Notamacropus eugenii: one gene and its partner. Each later gene encodes a partner of the first gene's protein in a complex. Links are inferred from orthologs where the notes say so. Each region holds a gene or a part of one and is shown in the gene's direction. Other genes may lie near its edges.

Region 1 (10,817 bases):
TCTCTTCCAAGTTACTAGTGTCTTAATGAATACATCTCATGTGTTTTTCTCAGTCTTCATCCTTCCTGATCCCTGCACTGCTGACCATCCTTTCCTCCTGGATATTCACCATCCTCAGTTGCTGAAAACTATGTGTACCATCTATTAAAAATTCTTTATCTGCACACTTGGGAAAAAACCACAACTCTGGAGAGTGAACTTTCCAACTTTCTTAAAAAATGTTCCCAATGAAGGGTCTGACTGGGTTGTGAATACATTTGTTAAAAATAGAAAAATGCAGCACGCTCCAATTAGTTTGCAACAACAACTAACTGGTATCAGGGAAGATGGAAATTTACTACTGAATTTCAATACAAATCTCTGCATAGTTGGGTAATGGTTAGAATAATGATTTAGTGGGCACAGCCAACAATATACTCCTTTCACTTGAATTTAGCTTTGTCAAGGTTTTTTTTGTTCTCTGACAGCTGTTAAAACTAAGTTTGTTTTTTTTTCAAACATAGAACCAGAATTTCAAATCACTGTATCACAAAGTATTAAAGTAAAAAAAAAAAACTTCAAAAGTAATTTAGATATTCAATCCCAATGCTTGCATCAGAATTAAGTTTTGGTGAGAGTAAAATCATTTTTTGTACCATTAATAAAATATTTTCAAAATATTCTCACCCAATACTTTTGTAAAGGCTTGTGTAAAACTAAAATGTACATAACTAAATATTATGTAATTTAAAATTGTATAAAAATACACTGCAAGTAGATAGCCTTAGTCATTTTTCACTGATAGAGTTATATAAACAGCAAGTTTGGAAATTACTGGTCCTTCATTGTGTGTTCGACCTTCATTGCCGAAGACCATGCCATCAGAGACATGACATGACTTGCACTTGACTTTGTTTTGAGAGGGAGGGCTGTGCAGGTCACCAGCCTCTCCCATGGTCCAGACCGTGCCATGCAGTTGGAAGGCCAGCCCACTGAGTCCATCCATCAGTAGATCTAGCCAGAAGCAGATCTAGCTATGGGTGGATAATGAGTTGGGAGAAGTGAAAAGCAAGATTGGGGTGAACTGCACGAGGGAAATCACACAGAGATTTTAATAATCTTAAGCTGCTTTGTAGCACAAAAGCCTGTTTTTCAACACAGACATCCTTCCAGTGAAGCTAACTAAAGGGTTGCAAATCTTGTACCATAATTTCTTAAGGATGGTGATCTTATCCCCTCTGGTAGAGAGATACATGGTGAACACAAGTAGGCTGCAGCATATATTTAATGCTGGTATATGTGCTAGAACTTGCAAAAGGAGTATTATTTAGGAAATGTATGACTGGCAGAGAGGGTGAGTCACATAGAAAGATGGAGAGACAGATGGTACCTACAAAACTCAACTCCTGACATTTATTATGTTGTCATACGGCCAGTCACTTAACTAGCTAATTCTTGACAACGTCCACCTTAGTGGTCTCTCTGTCGATAATCGATAATCATTCCTCTAACTAGCTACATACTACAGTGGGTAGAACTCAAATTTATCCTCAGATATTTGCTAGATTGTGACCTTGGTTGAGTTACTTAACCTGTCTGCTTCAGTTGACTCAACTGTAAAATGTGCCTAATAATAACATTGAGCTCCCAGGATTGTAGTGGAAGGGAATCAAATGAGATATTTATAAAGCATTTAGCAATGTCTAGTACATAGCAGGTTCTTAATAAAGGCTTATTCCCTTCCCTAAGTGAAATGAGCCTTGCAGAATATGATGGAGTACCTTGAAAATTCAAACATTAGTCAACGAGAAATTTAAAAAAAATTTTTTTATTCCTTTGCATCCATGATGGCCTTTTTAGTTGAACAAAAAAGCCTTCATTTAAAATATCCTTCATCAGCAAAGAACTATCCCATCAATGCACAGTGCAATCCATCCACACCTGATTTTGTACAATTCTTAACCATGTTATTCCAAGGATACTTTGCAGAAGAATGACTCCACATTTTAAAGGTCACTCTCTATGGGATCTCAGGTCTTTACGTTAATCTCAAGGTTCATGAAATTCTTGTTTTTCTTTTAACTGAGACAACTGTATTTCAATATAATTCTTTTCCTTTGTAATTCTATGTATTTTATTTTACACACTTGAAAGTATTATTCTAAAAAAAAAAAAATGGGTCTATGAGCTTCACCAGATTGCCAAAAGGGTCCATGATACAAAAAAAGGTGAAGAACCCCCTCCTGCTCTTAAGACTTCTAACATTTTGTAGGTATCAGTGCAACACTAGGGTAGACCTGCATCCTAGGACTGAAAGGACATCAATTTTTCCTCTACGAACAAGTCATTTTAATGTCAGTAAATAAGCTTCTCCAGTTATATAATGGGTTAAAAATCACTGACCTGACAGAGAAAATGAATCAAGAATGCCAAAGTGATTTTTTAAGTGATTTCTTGTTGTTCAGTCATGTCTGTCTCTTTGTGGTATTTTCTTGGCAAAGATACTGGAGTGGTCTGCCATTTCCTTCCCCAGTTCATTTTATGGATGAGAAAACCAAGGTAAAAGAATTAAATGACTTGCCCAGGGTCACACACCTACTAAGTGTAAAAAAATTTAGTTTTAAAAAAATTAAGTGACAGAACAAAAAACCTCATGACAAGAGAAGAACTACAACTTTAGGGAAATAATGTTATTTCTATTACTTCTGAGGAATATTAGATTTTCTTCAGTAGCTCTAGAGTCATTAATATTACTGTCTATCATGAAAATTCAGTTAATACTCAGGACATTAAGAATCGCTTTTAGTCAAACAGAACAGAGTAAGTCTGTAGTAAGAGATAGAGGATAGCTAAGTAGGTTATAGATTATACATATTATATGTAATATATAGTATTATATAAAATATATGTATACATACACATGTGTGTGCATATATGTGTTCCACCATCCTTGTCAACAACCATGCCATCAGAGAAAAAATGACATGACTTGCACTTGTCTTTGTTTTGAGTGAGGGAGGGCTGTGCAGGTCACCAGCCTCACTGCTCCTCCAGAACCATCTGAATTCAGTGACCAGATATTCATCAGGATGACTGGAGATGACCCAGGATGAGGCAATGGGGGTGAAGTGACTTGTCCAAGGTCACACAGCTAGTGAGTGTCAAGTGTGTGAGGTGAGATTTGGACTCAGGTCGTCCTGACTCCTGCACTGGTGCACTATCCACTGCACCACCTAACTGCCTGTGTGTACATATGTATGTGTGTGTATACATATTTCTGTAACTACGATAATTTGGAGAAAATTTCGGAGGAAAGGCAGTGCTCTTTAAGGAGGGCTGAGAAAAGCTTCCTGCACACACCTCAAGAAAGCCTGAAGGCTTCCACCGGCAGACATTTGAGCTCCCCTCCCCACCTCCAGCACCAAGGGCACTGCGGAATCTAAGAAAAGCAGCCCCCGGGCTGAACCTCACGGCGACTCGGGAGGCAGGGGGCTACGATCACCCCATTTTCCAGTTAGGGAGACAAACAAGCAGAAGTGAAGTGACTCGCCCAGGGTCGCAGGGCCCCTACGAGTCTGAGCTCGGATTGGAACTTGCCTCCGGGGCTGGCCACGTGCCTCGGGGGCAGGGCGCTCCACGGGCTTCTGCTCCAGGCCCAGTTCCCCCGGGGCTACAGACTCCCGTTCCCACGCCTCCAGTACAAGGCAGGGAAGCAGACAGCGCGCGGGGTTCGGCTCTCCCGCCTTCCCCACCATCGGGGAAAAGGGGGAGCTCACCTGCAGAAGGGGAGGGGCTGGCCGGCCCCGTTTTCCGGCTCTTTTCTTTCCCCCAGACCAGTCGGTAAATGCAGTAACAAGCGCCGGCCCCGAGCACCAGGCCCGCCACCCAGCCCGCCTCCCGGGCTCTGCCCATGCTGCCCCTTTGGAGCCCGGGAAATGCCCAGGCTGCGGCGATACTCCCTGGGACCTAGGGCCGAGGCTGCCAGCAGCGCGCTCGCCAGCGGGAGCACGTGGGAGCGGGTGGCCAGTGCGCCTGCGCACGGGGGCGGGCTCAGCGGAGGAGGAAGAGGGGATTTCAGTTCCGCCTCCCCACCCCCACCTCCGGCAGGCTAGAGACTGCGTTTCCTGCGCTTCCGCTGGAGGGGTCCTCGCCGCCCCAGAGTTCAGAGGCCGCTGGGGTAACCCTCGCGAGCGCCGCACGCACGCACTCGCACAAAAAGGAAGGGCTTTTATTTTGTTTTACCGGTGGAAGACGCTAGGTCTTAGACTTTGTTGTCGGAGTTGCATGTAGACATCTACCCACCTCCGGTGCATATAACCAAGCTCCAGATAATTCCGGGGCGACCCCTCCGGGAGCAGCTCTGCGTGCTTGTTCCGGTTCAGGGAGAGAGTGCCCTGCATTCGTTAAAATAGGAGGGGGGAAGAGGCACTTAGGAGGATGCCCAGAATCCATGGGTAGATTGCAAGGGGTTTATGAACTTGGTTTTGGGGAGGAAAGGAAACAATTTATTTCAATATAATTGACTTCTTTTGTAATAACTATTCATACATTAAAATATATATACGCCATATAGTATATATAATATACCATATAACACATACCATATAATATACCAACAATATACCATATAACACGTATAATATTATACATTATATACGATAAATATATCATATATATCTGAGAAGGGGTCTATAGCCTTCACTAGATCGACAAGGGAATCACACACACAAAAGCTTGACTCCAGAAGGGCCAGGCAGGTGAGCTTAGCGCAAACATTTGTAGCCTTTATTTCCAGTCCTTGTTTAAGAAACTGCCCTAGCCCTAGAAGGGAAAGGGACAATGGATTTGGAGTCAAGAGAATTGGCCTCAAATCTTGGCTTCTAGTACATGCCACCCGCCTGACCTTCCTTAAGGCCTTAACCTCCATGTCTTAGCATTGCATTGCACATGTAGTAGTGTTGAAAGGAAAATTCTTCATCTGGGTTTTCATCCTGATTAAGGAGGCAAAACTCAGGGCAAAGAGAACTGAAAAGATTTACTTTAAGTATGTCAAGGTAGCAGGGCTGATGACTGAAGATCAGACATGGCTTCAAGGTGGGGACAACTTTTATAGGCAGCTTTAAAGTAATCCAGATAGGTCCACCCCAGCACAAGAAGTGCGGCTTTGAATCGCCTTTCTCCCCAGAATAGCAAGAACGGGTTAGTTTGCAGATAAGGGTAAATGAATGACTAGGGATAGAAAAACTGCAAACTTGGTGTCTCCCTCCCCACTACGGCTTCCCCCAACACTCTTTGATAAGCAGGGCTAAGCAACTGAAGGGGCTTAAAGTTCATTGAATGGAATTAAATTGAATTTTTCAGGACTTCTGTTTAACCCTCTTTTTATTTAAAGCTCTTTTCACAGCCTGACCAGAGCCTTACTTTCCAGGGTTATTAGCCATTGCTCCCCTTTAGCCACTCACTGTAAGGTCCAACCAAGATGGCCTACTTGTACTTATGCACAGGACTCCCCAGACCTAGGATGCACTAACCTCCTGAGTCCCTGGCAGCCTTTAAAGCACGCCTCCTACTTGAGGTCTTTCCTGATAAATCCAGTTGCTCCTGCCTCCACTCATTATTCTGTATTTTTGTGTGACACCTTAAATGTGTGCATACTGGATGGAAGCTCCCTAAGAATGCTCTTCAGGGCCGCACACTGCTGAGTCAAATACATTTTTAAAAAGATACATAGTAACTAGCTTTGTTGCTTTTCATGTATTAACTCATTTGAACCTCATAACAACCCTAGGGAGGTGAGCGATATTACCATTCTCATTTAACACAAAAGGAAACAGAGGCTGAGAGAAGGCAGTTGGCCCGACTGGGGGAGGTTTTGAACTCGAGTCCTGACGCCGACGCTAGCACCTGACCTGGGGGCTTAATGCAGTGCCCGGCACCCCGGAGGCGCTTCTGTAAATGCTTGTTGCTTGAATGAGTGGCCCAGACCAGTCTCACTGCCCACCCTCATCCATGCCTGTGATGCCCTGAACTGTCCTACAAAGCTCAGCTTGGCTGCGCGGTGGGCCGGGCCAGGCCGGCTTGGGCGGGGGTCCCTTCCATCCAGCCACACGCGCATGCGCCAATCGCCGCGCGGGGGCGGGGGAGTCCCAGCTCCCAGTTGCCTGGAGCAACGCGCGGAGAAAGAGAACCCCGAGGCAGCTGCTCCAGCGCAGAGGGTGGTGCTGGGTGCGAAGGGCGGGAACCTTCGCCTACTTGTCCTCCTGTCTCGGCTAGTCCCACCCGCCTTGGGCAGGCCCCAGCCCGCCCAGCAGGCCCCAAAATGGCCTGCCCAGAACGATGCCACCCTCGACAAGAGGAACCACTTCTCCCAGGGGTCCCAGGTATCAGGGCGGTGTCGGGAGCGCCGTGAGCCGGCCCACCCGGGCCGGGCTGGGGGGCGGGGCCGGGCTCCCCTGCCCGGGGCCTCGCACGCCTGTCTGGCGCCGACCCACCACGTGCTCTTTCCTCCTCCCAGTCAATGCCCTCTGCGCCCTGACCCCGTTCTGCCCCGTAAGCCCACAGTTCTGTCGCCACCACCACCTAGTTTTTCTTGAACCCCGGCCTCTCCGGCTCTCGCGCGCTGTGCCATCCGTCTGCGCCTGGGCAAATCACAACCTTTTTGCCCCTGAGTTCCACCTTTGTAAAAGGACAACTAAAATTCCTTTTCAACCCTAAGACGGAGCTCTCTCCTTTTGCGGATCAGCCTGTTATTGATCTGATCTCAGCCCCTGCTCTGAACCACCCACTTAGCCTGTGACATCAGGGGGCCTAATGTAGTGGAAGGAGACTTAGGCAGCGTGGTACGGTGGGGAAAAAGTCAGAGAGAGTCCTGGATTTCTGGTCTACCTTTGTACATCTGTTAGGGCCGTGGTTAAGTGGTATCACTTCTCTGGGTTCCTTTCCTCATTTGTTAAACAGGAACAAATGTTTACAGTTGAAAGCTCATCAGGTTTGGTATAAAATTAAAGTTATGTTTCATATTGGAACACATTTTCAAAGGATTTTGACAATGTGGATTTTAATTGTTTCAGTCAGCAGTCTTCCCATAAAAATGTGGCCTAGTATTAAAAAAAAATGTTTGTGAAAGCGTAGCTATTGACTTCTTATGTTTTCATTTTGGATCTCTTCAGTGTGTTCATAGCACCCTATACAGACAAGAAGGAAGACATAGCAACTGGGAACGTCTTTTCGTTTATCTTTTTTCCCCTTATAAAGGCACCATTAATGATCTTTTCCATTCTTTTGAAATCTTTCCCTGTCTCAGCTTAAAATTCTACTTCATAGTGCTTTAACAATTGTGTTGTCCGCCATTCAGACTTCTCTCTGTGCTTAGTTAGGTTCAGCCACCAGTTTTGACTTCCCCCTCTTAAATACCATTACTTGGTATTTTCAACATTGGGATGCTGTAATCTAAATGTTTTTAATGCAGAGAGATCACTGTGAAAATGCCTGTAGATCCATTTTATCTTCTCTGTTTATCATCTTTTGTCCAGTTTTATCTTCAAATGTAATTTGGCTTAGCTGGATCTCATCTAGAGGGGATGATGGTGATGATGATAACGTTATATTTTGACTTGGCACTTTACACCCATTATCTGTTTGGATTCTCAAATCCTCTGACGAATGCAGCACAAGGGGGCAGCTAAGTGGTACAGTGGATAAAACACAGGACCTGCAGTAAGGCACACTGAAAGCCAGTCGTAGACACCAGCTGTGTGACCCTGGGTGAGTCACTTAAGTCACTGAGTTTGCCTCGGTTTCCTCATCTGTAAAATGGGAATAATAAAAAGATCATCTAACTCCCACGGTGATTATGAGGATCGAATGAATTAATAATTGTCAAGTGCTTAGCACAGTGCCTGGCATGTAGTAGATACTATATACATGTTAGCTCTTATTATATGGATAGTCAAGCAAAACTAATTCCTACATTGGCCATGTCCAAAAATGTATGTCTCATTCTGCGTCTTGAGTCTATCTCTGTCAAAAGATGAGTAGCATGCCTCATTATCAGCCCTCTTGAATATTGCATTGATTAGTTATTAAGTCTTTCAGAGTTGTTTGTCTTTACAGTATTGTTATTATATAAATTGCTTTGGTTCTCCTCACTTCATTCTGCATTAGTTCATACAAGTCTTCTTAGGTTTTTCTAAATTCATCCCCTTCATCTGTTCTTATAGTACAAGAGAATTTCCATTGCATCCTGGCCCATCTCCTGTCATCCTGAGAAATAATGTCAGGTCACTGGATTCAGATGGCTCTGGAGAAGCGAGGCCGGTGACCTGCACAGCCCTCCCGCACTCAAAGCAAAGTCAAGTGCAAGTCATGTCATCATTTCTCTGATGGCATGGTCTTCTTTGGCAACAAAGGACGAACACAAGAGAATTTCATTACTTTCATATACCATCATTTGTTCAACCATTACCTACTTTATGGGTACACTCTGAGTTTCCAGTTCTTTTTCTTTATGGAAAGTGCTGCTGTAAATATCTTTATATATAATATATATTAAATATATAAATATCAAACATAATAACTTTAATTTTCTTCTTTCTTTGACCTCTTTGATACCATAGGACTAGTATCAGTGGATAACAGAGTATACACTTTAGTAACCTTGGGGGCATTATTCCAAATTACATTGTAGAATGGCTGGATCAATTTACAACTCCACCAGCAGTGCGTTAACATGTCTGTTTTCCCATAACCCTTCTAACATTTGCCATTTTCCACTGTTACTGCCTTTGCCATCAAATGTGAGGGGTTTGTGATGGAACCTCAAAGTTATTTTCATTTCACATTTAGCACTTTGCCTGTATGTCTTGCCACTTACCCCTTTTGAGAAGCATGGCACACTGGAGAAAACATTAAGATTTGGCATCAAAAGACTTGGATTTGAGTTTTGGCTCAGACGCTTTCTAGTTGTGTGATCAGGGTAACTTAACCTATCTAAACCTGTTTCATTATCTATAAAATCTGGGTTTGTGAAATGCTAAGTTAAATGAGTTGTCATTTATGCCTAACTTTAGGCAAAATTGTAAAGTAAGGGAATTTTGTCTTGGCTCTTAGCTCCTCTTTCTTTGTCCATCTTCTTTCACATTCTTCCCCCCTCCCCTCCCCCTGAGGCCTCCTTTGTCTGTAATATATTCTTGTGTGAATTAGTTCAGTGTGTTAACCCTTCAGAGTAGCATCTGAATTTTTAAAAAGGCTCTAGGAGAGAAAGCCAAAGAAATGAATGTGTTATCTGGGTTTTTTGGTACCCTTGAGAGGGAGATACTTTCAGTTAAGGTTCTTTCTGGTGTGTCATTAAATTACATAATACAGGCATATATACCCTGCCTACTTGTAAATTTGATTAATAATAATAAGAGAGATATTTCCATTGCAGTTTAAAAAAAAGCAAAAGCACTATACTTACTGCCATAGTAATGGAAATAAAAGTGCATTCTCATTCAGAAAGAAGTGTGTTTTAGTTCCACTTCAGACTTTTCATAGTTATGTGACCCTGAGAAAGTCAGTTGGCACAATGCTCTGTACCTGGAGTCAGGAGTACCTGACTTCTCCCATGGCCTTAAATAATTCCTAGCTTTGTGACCCTGGGCAAATCACTTAACTTCTGTGTGCCTTAGTTTTTTCATTTGTGAAAAAGAGAAAATAATAGCACCTATCTTCCAGGGTTGTTGTGAGGATGAAATGAGATACTATTTGTAAAGCACTATACAAACCTGTAAGTGCAATATCTTAACTATTATGATTTTATTATTTAACCTCCATAGGCCTCAGTTTCCCCATCTGCAGAGTTGAATGTGATGTCTTGTAAGATACTTTTCAGCTCTAAGTTTATGATCCTATAATATCAAAGCTAGAGTGGAGTTTAATGTCTGTGAAAAAATAAAGTACTTCTCAAAAAATTGTCCAGCAGAGGGAGTATCTGAATTGTTGGTTGCCTGTTTTGAAAGGAATGATTTTTATTGAATCAGGTACTTATACTTTATAGTTCCTTTGTACTTAGCATTTCTAAAACACCAACTGTATTTACATATTTGGAAAACAGGCAGATTTTCAAAATGGAACAGCAACAAAAGGATGATTTGGAGAGAGAAAGGTTAGGTGGCTGGTTCAACTGAGCCCCTATGAGTAGTGGTCAGCAACCTTAGGCATCACTTCAAGTCCAGGGTCTGGCTCTTAGCTATTTCTGGCTCATGAATTTGATCTTATGATCCCCGTACTTTGAGGTAATGAAGCTCTGGGTAACTGATTCAAACTAACCAAACTTAAAAGTGATTGACGAATAAACTAAAATACCAGTTTATTCACATACAAGGAGAGACACACCTAGATAGAGAACTGGTATCAAAGTTGCTATTCAGATCACTTACTCCTAATGAGTCCACTTGGGAGGCACAATTACAAAATGACAAGTTTACGTGTTAAGTATTGAATTGGGAAATTAAGGGAAATTTCCACCAAGCTAGGAAAATTTGAAAAAATGACCTTTATTCTAGGGATATTTCTGTCTAAAGAATCAATTTAATTCATTTAAACAGTACCAGTCACCCACAATCTGAGGCCCCTTTCCATTGTTCAGTACCAAGAAATCCACTGATCAGTTCCTATCTTTCATCTCCTTTATATAGATTCCAACATTCTTCTGTTGAGATATTATTTTCAGTTTTAATACAGTTGAATGGATTGTAGTTTTCTCTACAATCCATTGTTTTCTAATTAAGATGCATCCCAGAGTCTTTTAAGAAAAGCATGCTCTAAAAGAATATAAAGAAAGGAAACCAGTGAGGTAT
Region 2 (11,023 bases), on another chromosome or scaffold:
AGGTCCACAGATGAGCCTGTTAGATATTATTTCATCACTCTGTAAAACAATGCAGAGAATCCTGCAAGATATGGTCATAACACTCAAAATAGTTTATCCTGACCATCCATGCAAGAAAAGACAGAAAAGAAGTAGATATGAATTTTTATTGCCCAGATTACAACATGCATTTGAAATCTTCCTGAGTTCAAATCAGACACTGACTACCTATGTGACCCTGAGCCCTCTTACCCTCTGCCTCAGTTGTGTCATGTGTAAAATGAGCTGGAGAAGGAATGGCAAACCACTCCAGTATCTTTGCCAAGAAAACCTCAAATGGGGTGACAAAGAGTCAGACACAACTGAACATCAAAATGTGTGTCTGGGACAGACAGTTCATGTGGACACCGAGTTAGGTCCAGTATAAATGGACAATAAGATGTGAGAAGAGTAGATTTGATTACCTTCATGAAATTGCAAATCTCCTATAATGACCCCAAATGTCTCCTGGAAACAATAGCCCATCTTTTTAATACTAACTTGTTATTTGTATTGCTTTATGGTAGAAAGAAATAGGATCCAAAAGATTCTAAATAATAAAAAATTTCTATCACATAGGGCAATGTGGAGGTGAATGGTGAATGTGAGCAGATTGCAATACAACCAGTAAGGGTTTTTGAATAACAAGAGTAAAATATATTATCAAGGAAATGTGTGATAGGAAGAAAAGATGGGCTAGTTACTTAACAAGTTTGAAGGATAAGATAATCGGAGTAAACCACTGGTATCCATCTTCAAGATGCCAAGAAAAACAAGAAAGGCCTCCAGTACACTGGATGGATCCCTGTAGCAAATTTCTGGGACAATATGAATAAAAGTCATACAACTTGAGAAAGCATCCTTGGATTGTTTTCTGCATCATTGGAGGGAATACCCAAATTGATGATGTCAGAGATCCACTTGGCAGTATTTGAGAGATATTGTCAAAGGTATAATGGCAATGCTTTGTAGAATATGTGAGACAAAAAAAATATAAAGGACAGGAAGACTAATTAGTAAAGTGTTGAAAAAGTCCAAATGAGAGGTAGCAAGGCTCTGAACTAAGGTAATGGTAGTGAAAATAGAAAGGAAGGAATAGATGCAACAAATACTAACCAGGTGAAATCTATGGAATTTGGTGATTGATTCATATGAGGAACAAAGGAGTCAAAATTTTGATCCTGGTATGACTGGAAAAATGGTGAACCATTAACAAAAGTTGGAAAATTGAGGGAAAAGGTTGGCCTTTATGGAAGAAAATGAGTTCCATTTTTACATGTTAAGTTTGAGAAGACAGAAGAACAATAAGGAGACATCCAGTATATGAATTGGAAATGCATGACTAGAGTTTAGGAGAAAGGTCAAAACTAGATATTGAACTTCGGGGATCCTCTACATAGAGAGATAATTGAAGGCTGACATGTGGATGAAGTTGACAAGCAAAAGAATGTAAAAGACAAGGGGGTCAGTGACAAAACCCAAACCTCAAACTAAACCTCAGCATTTCCAGATTCTCAAGTTGATCAAGATTTTAGACGTGGAAAGTCCTTATAAATTGTTTAGTTTAATCACTTCATTTACAAATGAGGAATCTGAGACTCCAAAGGTTGTGACCATACTAAGGATGTATAGCTATTTAGTGGCAGAGCTATAACTAGGATCCAGAGGACCTCAGTCTCATTCCATTGCTCTTTCAAGTATACCCATCATTCTGAACAGTACTTCTCATTATATGGGTTATCTAATTTTTCCCTAAGCCTCATTTTCCATTTCCCTGGTAGAAGGAGATGTTCTCTCTCCTCTAGGTTCCCTCACCAATATGCCTCAATTATAAAACTTACTACACTAAAAACTCATTGAAGATAAGTAATATTTCTCAGTGGATTCATAACAAATGTTTGATCAGCCAAAATACATACAGCAGTACTTTTGGTAGGAGCAAAAAACTGGAAACAAAGTATATGTTCGTCAAATGGGGAATGGTTAAGCAAATTGTGGTGCATGTAATGGAAAATTACTACATCATAAGAAATGCTGAATAAGGACACATGGAAAGCCATGAACTGATACAAAGTGAAGTAAACAGAACAGGGAAAACAAAATACAAAATGAAGGCAGCCTACGCATAAGGGAGGGAGTTGGTCTCTGACCAAACTAATTATAATCACCCAAAAAAGTCATCAAAGACAGGAAGCTAAAGCACAAATAATTAGGTGTTAATGTGTTAACAAAATGCTAACACTGCTACCCCTTTTCAAAATGTGTGAAATTTTCCCTGATGTACATAGAGAGGAAGTTTACCATTAGCTAACACATTAACCATGCCCTTGATCACCTTTAAAATGCTAGCTTACTAAGTCCTGCCTTCCCTGGAGATAGGAAGCAGTTCAATGAATGGGACTTTACCAGCAAAAGAAATAAGACTAAGAATTCAAGAGAGAACCAGTTCTGGAAATGGACATGAGCTAGGGAGGGGAATAGACCCTGAGAGTCCAGTTGAGCAACAGGAAGAAATGCTGTGCACAAGGGGAAGCAGTGTGAAAACCACATGGAGAACAAATATTGAGAGCATGAAGTTGCCTTGACTACACTACTATTGTACTTTGTGCCTATTCTTTTCGTGTATGCTATATGTATTTGTAGGTATATGTGCCCTAGTTTAATAATGGAAATGTTTTAGGGACAGATAGGTGGCGTAGTGGCTAAAGCACTGGTTTGGGGCAAGTCTCTTAACTCTGACTGCCTTGTAAAAAAAAAAATAGGGTCAATGTTTTGTAGCTACTGTTTTTACTGCTTTATCTTAGTAAAAGCACCTTCTTTGAGCTACTTGTATCTACTGACTAAGTTAAGGGAAAAGCTCATTGGTGAGAGTTCTTAAACTATAATTTCAACAGTGTAAACCCAGAGTATCCTGCAAACTGATGGTAATGGTGGCCTTCTGGGAAGGTAACTCAGAGTGGGTGTTACAAATATAAATGGAAAGAACAACAACAAAAAAAAAAAAGATTTAAATTGAACAGTGTGTAATTATAATGACCAAGCTTGGCCCCAAAGAAAAAAATGAGAAAATTTATTTTCCTTCAATATTAGCAAAGTCAAGGGGATTATATCCGTACAATATATACAGCATATAATGTTGGATTTAGTTGATGTGGTAGTTGGTTTTGCTGAAGTCTGTTTTTTGTTCTTTTTAATTTTTATTAAAAGGGTTGCTTCGAAAACTCAAAAGTCAAGCCACTGGCTGGGAAAATGTCCAGAAAAGGGGAAAAAAATAAGACTATAGAAGGTTACTTTCTTGGTGAACAGATAATTCCTCCCTTCCTTTCTGATGAGGAAGAACAATGCTTACCATCAGGGAAAGACACAGAAGTCAAGGCTTCTGTATCCCACACATCCAAAATAAATATACCATGGGCTCAGGCCATGGAAGAGCTCAAAAAGGATTTTGAAAATTAAGTAAGAGAGGTGGAGGAAAAACTGGGAAGAGAAATGAGAGAGATGAAAGAAAAGCATGAAAAGCAGGTCAACACCTTGCTAAAGGAGACCCCCAAAAATGCTGAAGAAAATAACACCTTTAAAAATAGGCTAACTCAATTGGCAAAAGAGGTTCAAAAAGCCAATGAGGAGAAGAATGCTTTAAAAAGCAGAATTAACCAAATGGAAAAGGAGGTTCAAAAGCTCACTGAAGAAAATAGTTCTTTCAAAATTAGAATGGAACAGATGGAGGCTAATGATTTTATGAGAAACCAAGAAATCACAAAACAAAACCAAAACAATGAAAAAATGGAAGATAATGTGAAATATCTCATTGGAAAAACAACTGACCTGGAAAATAGATCCAGGAGAGACAATTTAAAAATTATGGAACTACCCGAAAGCCATGATCAAAAAAAGAGCCTAGACATCATCTTTCATGAAATTATCAAGGAAAACTGCCCTGATATTCTAGAACCAGAGGGCAAAATAAGTATTCAAGGAATCCACCAATCACCTCCTGGAAGAGATCCAAAAAGAGAAACGCCTAGGAACATTGTAGCCAAATTCCAGAGTTCCCTGGTCAAGGAGAAAATATTGCAAGCAGCTAGAAAGAAACAATTCAAGTATTGTGGAAATACAATCAGGATAACATAAGATCTAGCAGATTCCATATTAAGGGATTGAAGGGCATAGAATAGGATATTCCAGAAGTCAAAGGAACTAGAACTAAAACCAAGAATCACCTACCCAGCAAAACTTCAGGGGGAAAAATGGTCTTTCAATGAAATTGGGGACTTTCAAGCATTCTTGATGAAAAGACCAGAGCTGAAAAGAAAATTTGACTTTCAAACACAAGAATGAAGAGAAGCATGAAAAGGTAAACAGCAAAGAGAAGTCATAAGGGACTTACTAAAGTTGAACTGTTTACATTCCTACATGGAAAGACGATATTTGTAACTCTTGAAACTTTTCAGTATCTGGGTACTGGGTGGGATTACACACACACACACACACAGAGCACAGAGTGAATTGAATAGGATGGGATCATGTCTTAAAAAAATGAAATTAAGCAGTGAGAGAGAAATATATTGGGAGGAGAAATGGAATGGGGCAAATTATCTCTCATAAAAGAGGCAAGCAAAAGACTTTTTAGTGGAGGGAAAAAGAAGGGAGGTGAAAGAAAAACATGAAGTTTACTCTCATCACATTCCACTAAAGGAAGGAATAAAATGCACACTCATTTTGGTATGAAAACCTATCTCACAATACAGGAAAGTGGGGGAGAAGGGGATAAGCAGGGTGGGTGATGGAAGGGAGGGCAATGGGAGGAGGGAGCAATTAGAAGTCAACACTCTTGGGGAGGGACAGGATCAAAAGAGAGAATAGAAGCAATGGGGGGCAGGATAGGATGGAGGGAAATATAGTTAGTCTTACACAACACAACTGTTATGGAAGTCATTTGCAAAACTACACAGATATGGCCTATATTGAATTGCTTGCCTTCCAAAGGGAATGGGTGGGGAGGGAGGGATGAAGAGAAGTTGGAACTCAAAGTTTTAGGAACAACTGTCGAGTACTGTTCTTGCTACTAGGAAATAAGAAATACAGGTAAGGGGGTATAGAAAGTTATCTGGCCCTACAGGACAAAAGAAAAGAGGGGGACAAGGGAAGGGAGGGATGATAGAAGAGAGGACAGATTGGTGATAGGGGTTATTAGAATGCTTGGTGTTTTGGGGTGGAGGGAGGGGACAAATGGGGAGAAAATTTGGAACCCAAAATTTTGTGAAAATGAATGTTAAAAGTTAAATAAATTAATTTTAAAAAAAAGAAAAAAAATAAAGTGATTGTTAACTCCTCAAAAAAAAAAAAGGGTTGCTTCTCTGAGTATGAGAGAGATGTGTTGAGAGAAGAAGGTGCTATAATAAAAGTATATCAGTGAAAAGTAAAACAAAATCAAAAATAAATGATAAAAGAATGAAAAAATGCAATAAAAATATGTCATTTTAGAGGTAGAAGATTATTCCAAAAGAAGAGATGAAAAAATTCAACCTCCTTTTTTGCAGAGGTGGGGAATTGTGGTTGTAAGTATGTTGCATATTATACTATCATATTTAGATGTTTTGGTTACTTTTGTGGAACTTTTTTCCTTTCTTTTTTATTCTTTGTTACATGACTCAATGGGTAGGGTAAGAATGTATTCAGAAAAAGGAAGGTAACATAAAAGTAAGTGATAGCAAAATTAAAAAGGAATATTCTAGCTCAAACCTTTCATCTTATGGGAATTATGCCAAATAATTATCATTACTGTTGCCATCATCAGCATAATAAAGCTATTTTTAAAATTTTAACATTTATGATGTTCCGAATCTATGGTCTCCAAAAAAATCTGGACCAATCTTCCCCAAGTCATTCTTCACCAGTTCCCCCTGGGATGTGGAATAGGGGAAGGAGATACATGGAGAACAGGAAGTTAATCTAAATCAGTAGTTAATTCTGTCTTCCTACAAACAACTCCCAAGTTTCTTGGTTGCTAAGACAGAAGGCAGCCCAGACACTCAACCTTCCTTCCACTATCTCCACCCCCTACATTGCTGATCTGTACTGGTTGCCCTAATCCAGCCCCTTCCTTGGTCTTCCAGCTCATTGGGCCATCCTACTGCCTTTCAACATGAGTTCTCTGGGGAGACACACCACAGAAGAAATAGGAGGCACATCTGAGGAGGTACCTACAGGTAAGGGGAGGCAGAGAAAGAGGGGGCAAAGGCAGGCACAAAGCTAACCTTATACAAAGAATTACTTTCTCCAAAAGAGGACCCAAAGGTATTCCTTTTTTACATAGTGGATGAAAGCTACACAGACTGATCACCCATTATTATTCTACCAGATAGTCACCTTAAAATGAGAGTAGAGAGGGCATCTCCTTAGGACCCAGAACTTGAACACAATGTGCCCATTTCCTCCTCTAGGACACCAAGATGCCACCAAAAATCAAAGGAAAAGGATCAAAAGCTGGGGGACAGAAAAAGAAAAAGAAGAATCAAGGTGAGTGAGGTGGGTAGAGGCTGGTGGGAACAATGCGGGTGTCTTTGAAGGCTTTGTCCACCTAGCATCCCTTAGAGTCCTGACCCCCTTCCCCATGGTGGAATCCAGTCCGAGCCTATTTCTTCCTCCTGGCCTTGGTTCCTTCATTTATAACAATGGTACCCAGGGATGGGGAAAGATGAACTTGTGTCATTTCCTCTAATTGAAGATCCATTCTCCATCTCTTCCTGCTCCCAGGGACCAAGATTCTACATGAAAACAAAATGCAGGCTCTCCTGGAATCACCAGGGATCCAGAATCTCCTCTGGGTCAGCCTAGCCTATTTTGAACTACTCAACTTTTGCAATTGTTGCTCTTTCACACTCCTGTACCACCAGCTCCAGAGGGACCTGCAAGTGCCCACAACCTTTAGATTTAACCCCAAAAAGGTTTCTAAACATGGGAGTTGAGGGTGGAGGAGAATGACAAAGGAGAAGCTATAATAGATTAGGCCTTTATATGGTTTCCATGAAACTGTCCCTCACTTCCTGTTTTGTAATATAGAAGGAGTCATGGACTAGGAGTCTGAAGATGTGAGTTTTGTTTGAACTGCTGTGTAACCTTAGGCAAATTCACTTCACCTCAGTTCCTTCATCATAAAATTTGGGAGTTGGAAAATAATAAAGTTCCTTCTAGCTCTAAATCTATAATCCTATGATTCCTTCTTGCCAAGGACAGATGTCGATGTTGAGATCAAGCACAGGAGAACAGCCTTGGAGGTGGAGATCCTCCGTGACCATCTGGGTAAGGGAATAATAGAGGAAGTTCCCCTACTCCTTGGAGAGTGGAGGTGATACCTATTCCATAGTTGCTCCTAAGTAGTTCCTAGCTAAATAGATCATTATGGGAAATTATGTGAAAAGTCTAGGTAATGAAGGTTAGAATTATAGTTAATTATAATCCTTACAGAGATGAGGATGCCATTTTCCATTGGCCAGAGCAGAGAAGAAATTTGTTCCAAAAGAGTGACTGGTAGACTTCAGGGCTGGGGGAAACAGGGAAAACTCTAAAACATTGGGCAAATAAGAACTTGGAGACTCCAGGAGTAGGGAAGAGAGGAGTATAGCAGTGTGTGCGTGTGTGTGAGTGTGTGTCTGTGTGTGTGTGCACACGTGCATGTGGGTGGGAGGTATCCTGGGAGAATGAGATATTCTTTATGGGCTGAGGACTTCATCCTTCATTTGGTGCCACCCCTAGCTCTTCGACGGGATGAGACTCGCCAGGCCATAGCTTGCAGAGAACTGCTCCGAGTGAGGCTGCAGGAGTTGGAGGCTGAGGTGGAGGAGGCTCGAGGTGATGGAGAGGCTGTGTATGCAGGTGACAGGAGGGGCCTCAGACTATAGGACAATTTATCACCAATTCTGTCTTTGAGCTTTTTCCACTCAGCATAAATTGGATGAGGCTCTTGTGGGATCTTAGAAAGGGATGTCTCAAGGTTCATAACCCCTCCATCCCACAGTGATTGTAGATCTGGAATGGGACAGAAGATCTGGTTGTCTTTCTGTTCTCTATTTGTTATAAATTTCCATCTTTTGGGTGACTTTACAAGCAGAATTTTCTATATCATAAACAAGCCATGGGAAGGTGTTTCCCAAGGCAACTTCCTATAATATCATCCCCCATATGGAGTACCATGTTCATTTCTGGGTACCACATATTAAGAAGGATGTAAGTTGGAAAGTATCTCCAGAGGAGCACAGCCAGGATGGAGAAGAACCTCAAGATCAGATCAGATGAAGGAACTGGGAATTTTTAGCCTGAAGACAACTTCTAGGGGAAATGTAGCTGTCTTCTAATATTTGAAGAACCATCTCATGAAAGGGATTAAATTGGTTCTTCTTGGCTACAGAAGACAGAACTAAAAACAATGGGTAGAAGCTTGAGAGTAGCAAATTTAACTGTGATAAGGAAAAAACTTCCTAAAATTTAGATCTATTGAAAAGTAAAATGGACTGCCTTGGAAAGTAATATGTTCTCTCTCACAAGAAATCTTCAAGCAAAAACCAGGTGACAAATTGGTATGTTGCAGGGAAGTTTCTTGTTCTGGTATAGATTAGACTAGATGGCCAATGATATCTCTTCCAATTCTAATTCTATGATCTTCCTTATTGGGAGTACCTCCTACTACTATCCCATACCCCAAGAGATGAGTCGTCAGTACCATGCCCTGAGGGAAGAGACTGAGACACAGAGACATCAGCTGGAAGAGAAAGTAAAGGTCCTTCAGAAAGAGTTAGGTAGGTATGAATTTCTGTGTCCTAGATGGGTACCTGATCAGTCTGTGTTCTGAGAATGGGATATAGCAGGGCTAGAGCTAGACAAATGAGCTGAGTTTGACAAGAATGAAGGGATGAGGCAGCATTCTTTTAGGTGAGGCATCTAAGGGTATTCTGTATCTTGGAAAGTGCAAAGGGGACAGATTCTCCCACAGGCCACTGAGCAGACTCTATTCAGCTGCCTTCATATTCCTCATTAATCCTGTCTCTGGCTCCCCAGAGACATGCCAAAGAGAGGCAAAAACTGCTAAGAGAGAGGCTGAACAGGCATTAGCAGAACGAGACAAGACCCTTGCCCAGCTTCAGGCCTATGTGACAGACATGGAGGCTAAGTATGAAGAAATTCTACATGTAAGTAATAACCAGCATTACTCTTGGACCTTTCCCTCCTGTACTTTGGCATCCTCTCCCCAGGCTCACAAAACAGTTCCTAATTAGCTCTTCAGATCTCACTGGGAAAGACAAAATTTGACTTGAAGATAGGCTGCAAGGAAGAGACATTTGCACAGGAGTCCAGGGTCCTCCATCCATCTCAGTAGTATGTGGCAGGTGGCATGGCTAATTTAGGTCCCTGGCACTAGGGGCTTTTAAGAAAACAGCAGGAGGTGCAATTCCAAAGCCATTGTGGGGCATAACTGACTTATTCTCTTCTGTGAGGTTGAGACCAAGTAAAAGATGGTCCTACTTTACAGTGCAGCCTGGATCGACTCTTGGCCAAACTGGCCACAGCTAAATTGGAGTGGGATGCAGCTGCTCTGAGGCTCCATGAGAAACACAAAGAACAACTTCAGCAATTTGGGCTCAACCCCCTATACTTCTGAAGCTGGGGACCCTTGGACTTCAGGGCCTTCTGGGCTCCCAACAATAAAGGTTTTGTTCCTCTAGCTCTAAGCAACAGGGGGCCTTTCTCCTCCTGAGCCCTTGAGTCCCTTCTCTAGATGAAGCCAGCATGGGAGGAAGCTCTATCAGTGGGAGAAAGCATATTAGGTTGGAGGCAGAAACATCTACGTAATAACACTTTATCTATTGAGTTGTGGGGAAAGAAATGTTGGCAAACCCAACCCATCCATAGAAATAATATCCCCACTCCCCTCCCCCTCCCCCCCATCCCCAAGATTCATGGAATCTTGATCTTTGTGTCAAAGGTAGCTAAGTGATGCAGTAGAATGAGCACTGGGCTCAGAGTCAGGAAGACCTGACTTCAAATCCAGCCTCAGACATTTACTAGCTGTGTGACCTTGGGCAAGTTACTTAACCTCTTTTTGCCTCAGTTTCCTCAATTATAATATGGAGATAACAGCACCTACCCCCAAAGGTTGCTGTAAGGGTCAAATGAAATCCATATAAAATGCTTACATAGTGCCTCGTATACAATAAGCACTATATAGATGCTTATTCCCTTCTTTACCCTTCCCCATATTCTTTCCTCCACTCCAGCACAAACACAGGCAGCGAGACTTGTGGGAAAGGATAATTTCAACAGGCTCTAAGTCTACATCAAATACATACTTGTTGCCCTGGAATCCCACTGTCCCTTGCTTTCTCCATAGGTCCTGAGGGAAGGAAGGAAACTAACATTTTACAAATATTTCATTTGATCCTCACAACAACTCTGGAAGATAGGTATTATTACCCCCATTTTACAATGGAGGAAACTGAGGCAAACAGAGGCTAAGTGACTTGCCCAGGGACATATAGATAGAGTCTGAGGCCAGATTTAAACTCAGGCCTTCCTGGCCCCAGGTCCAAAGCTCTATGAATTGACATCATGAAAAGGAGATATCACAGAGAGAATTATGAATCAATCTCCAATTTTAATTGAATGTTCAAAATCATCATACATCAGGGAAGAGCACTGGCCCCACCTCTCAGATACAGCACAGGAGATCCTAGTTTTGCAGGTCCTACTCTCCCACAAACAAACTTTATCTTAGTGGGTCCCCTGGCCCTCCCACCAAACTCTTGCACATTTCTTCTGACTGGGAATATGGATGGGAAGCTGTTGACAGAGCAAACCCAGTACATTGGATACAGCTACTTCCCCTACTCTTTCCCAGGGAGTGAAGCCCTGGGAAAGGAAAGAGACTTATCCCAGGAGGCCTATGTAGTCCTATGAGGACATCCTATCTCTCCAGCCCTTGGGCCCAGGAATTTCCATCCACTCCTGAAAT

The links. Proteins that work in one complex are often made in the same cells at the same time.
Region 2: FBXL13 (region 1) and DRC12 share a complex: the UniProt entries of both Homo sapiens proteins name them as parts of the nexin-dynein regulatory complex. The link is inferred for Notamacropus eugenii from reciprocal best matches to the Homo sapiens genes FBXL13 and DRC12.

The regions. Positions count from the first base shown.
Region 1 is NC_092874.1:152,909,519-152,920,335, forward strand, and holds the start of FBXL13 (F-box and leucine-rich repeat protein 13), read left to right. Parts: upstream 1-5,907; 5' UTR 5,908-6,092; coding exon 6,093-6,359; intron 6,360-10,817. Other genes in the region: ARMC10 (armadillo repeat-containing protein 10), read right to left, coding at 3,756-3,891. UniProt on the Homo sapiens protein: Substrate-recognition component of the SCF (SKP1-CUL1-F-box protein)-type E3 ubiquitin ligase complex.
Region 2 is NC_092876.1:279,603,837-279,614,859, forward strand, and holds the start of DRC12 (dynein regulatory complex protein 12), read left to right. Parts: upstream 1-6,112; 5' UTR 6,113-6,163; coding exon 6,164-6,227; exon of another isoform or gene 6,228-6,315; intron 6,316-6,461; coding exon 6,462-6,537; intron 6,538-7,249; coding exon 7,250-7,320; intron 7,321-7,773; coding exon 7,774-7,893; intron 7,894-8,720; coding exon 8,721-8,813; intron 8,814-9,072; coding exon 9,073-9,203; intron 9,204-9,544; coding exon 9,545-9,673; 3' UTR 9,674-9,722; intron 9,723-10,646; exon of another isoform or gene 10,647-11,023. Other genes in the region: NHERF4 (Na(+)/H(+) exchange regulatory cofactor NHE-RF4), read right to left, coding at 1-39. UniProt on the Homo sapiens protein: Component of the nexin-dynein regulatory complex (N-DRC), a key regulator of ciliary/flagellar motility which maintains the alignment and integrity of the distal axoneme and regulates microtubule sliding in motile axonemes.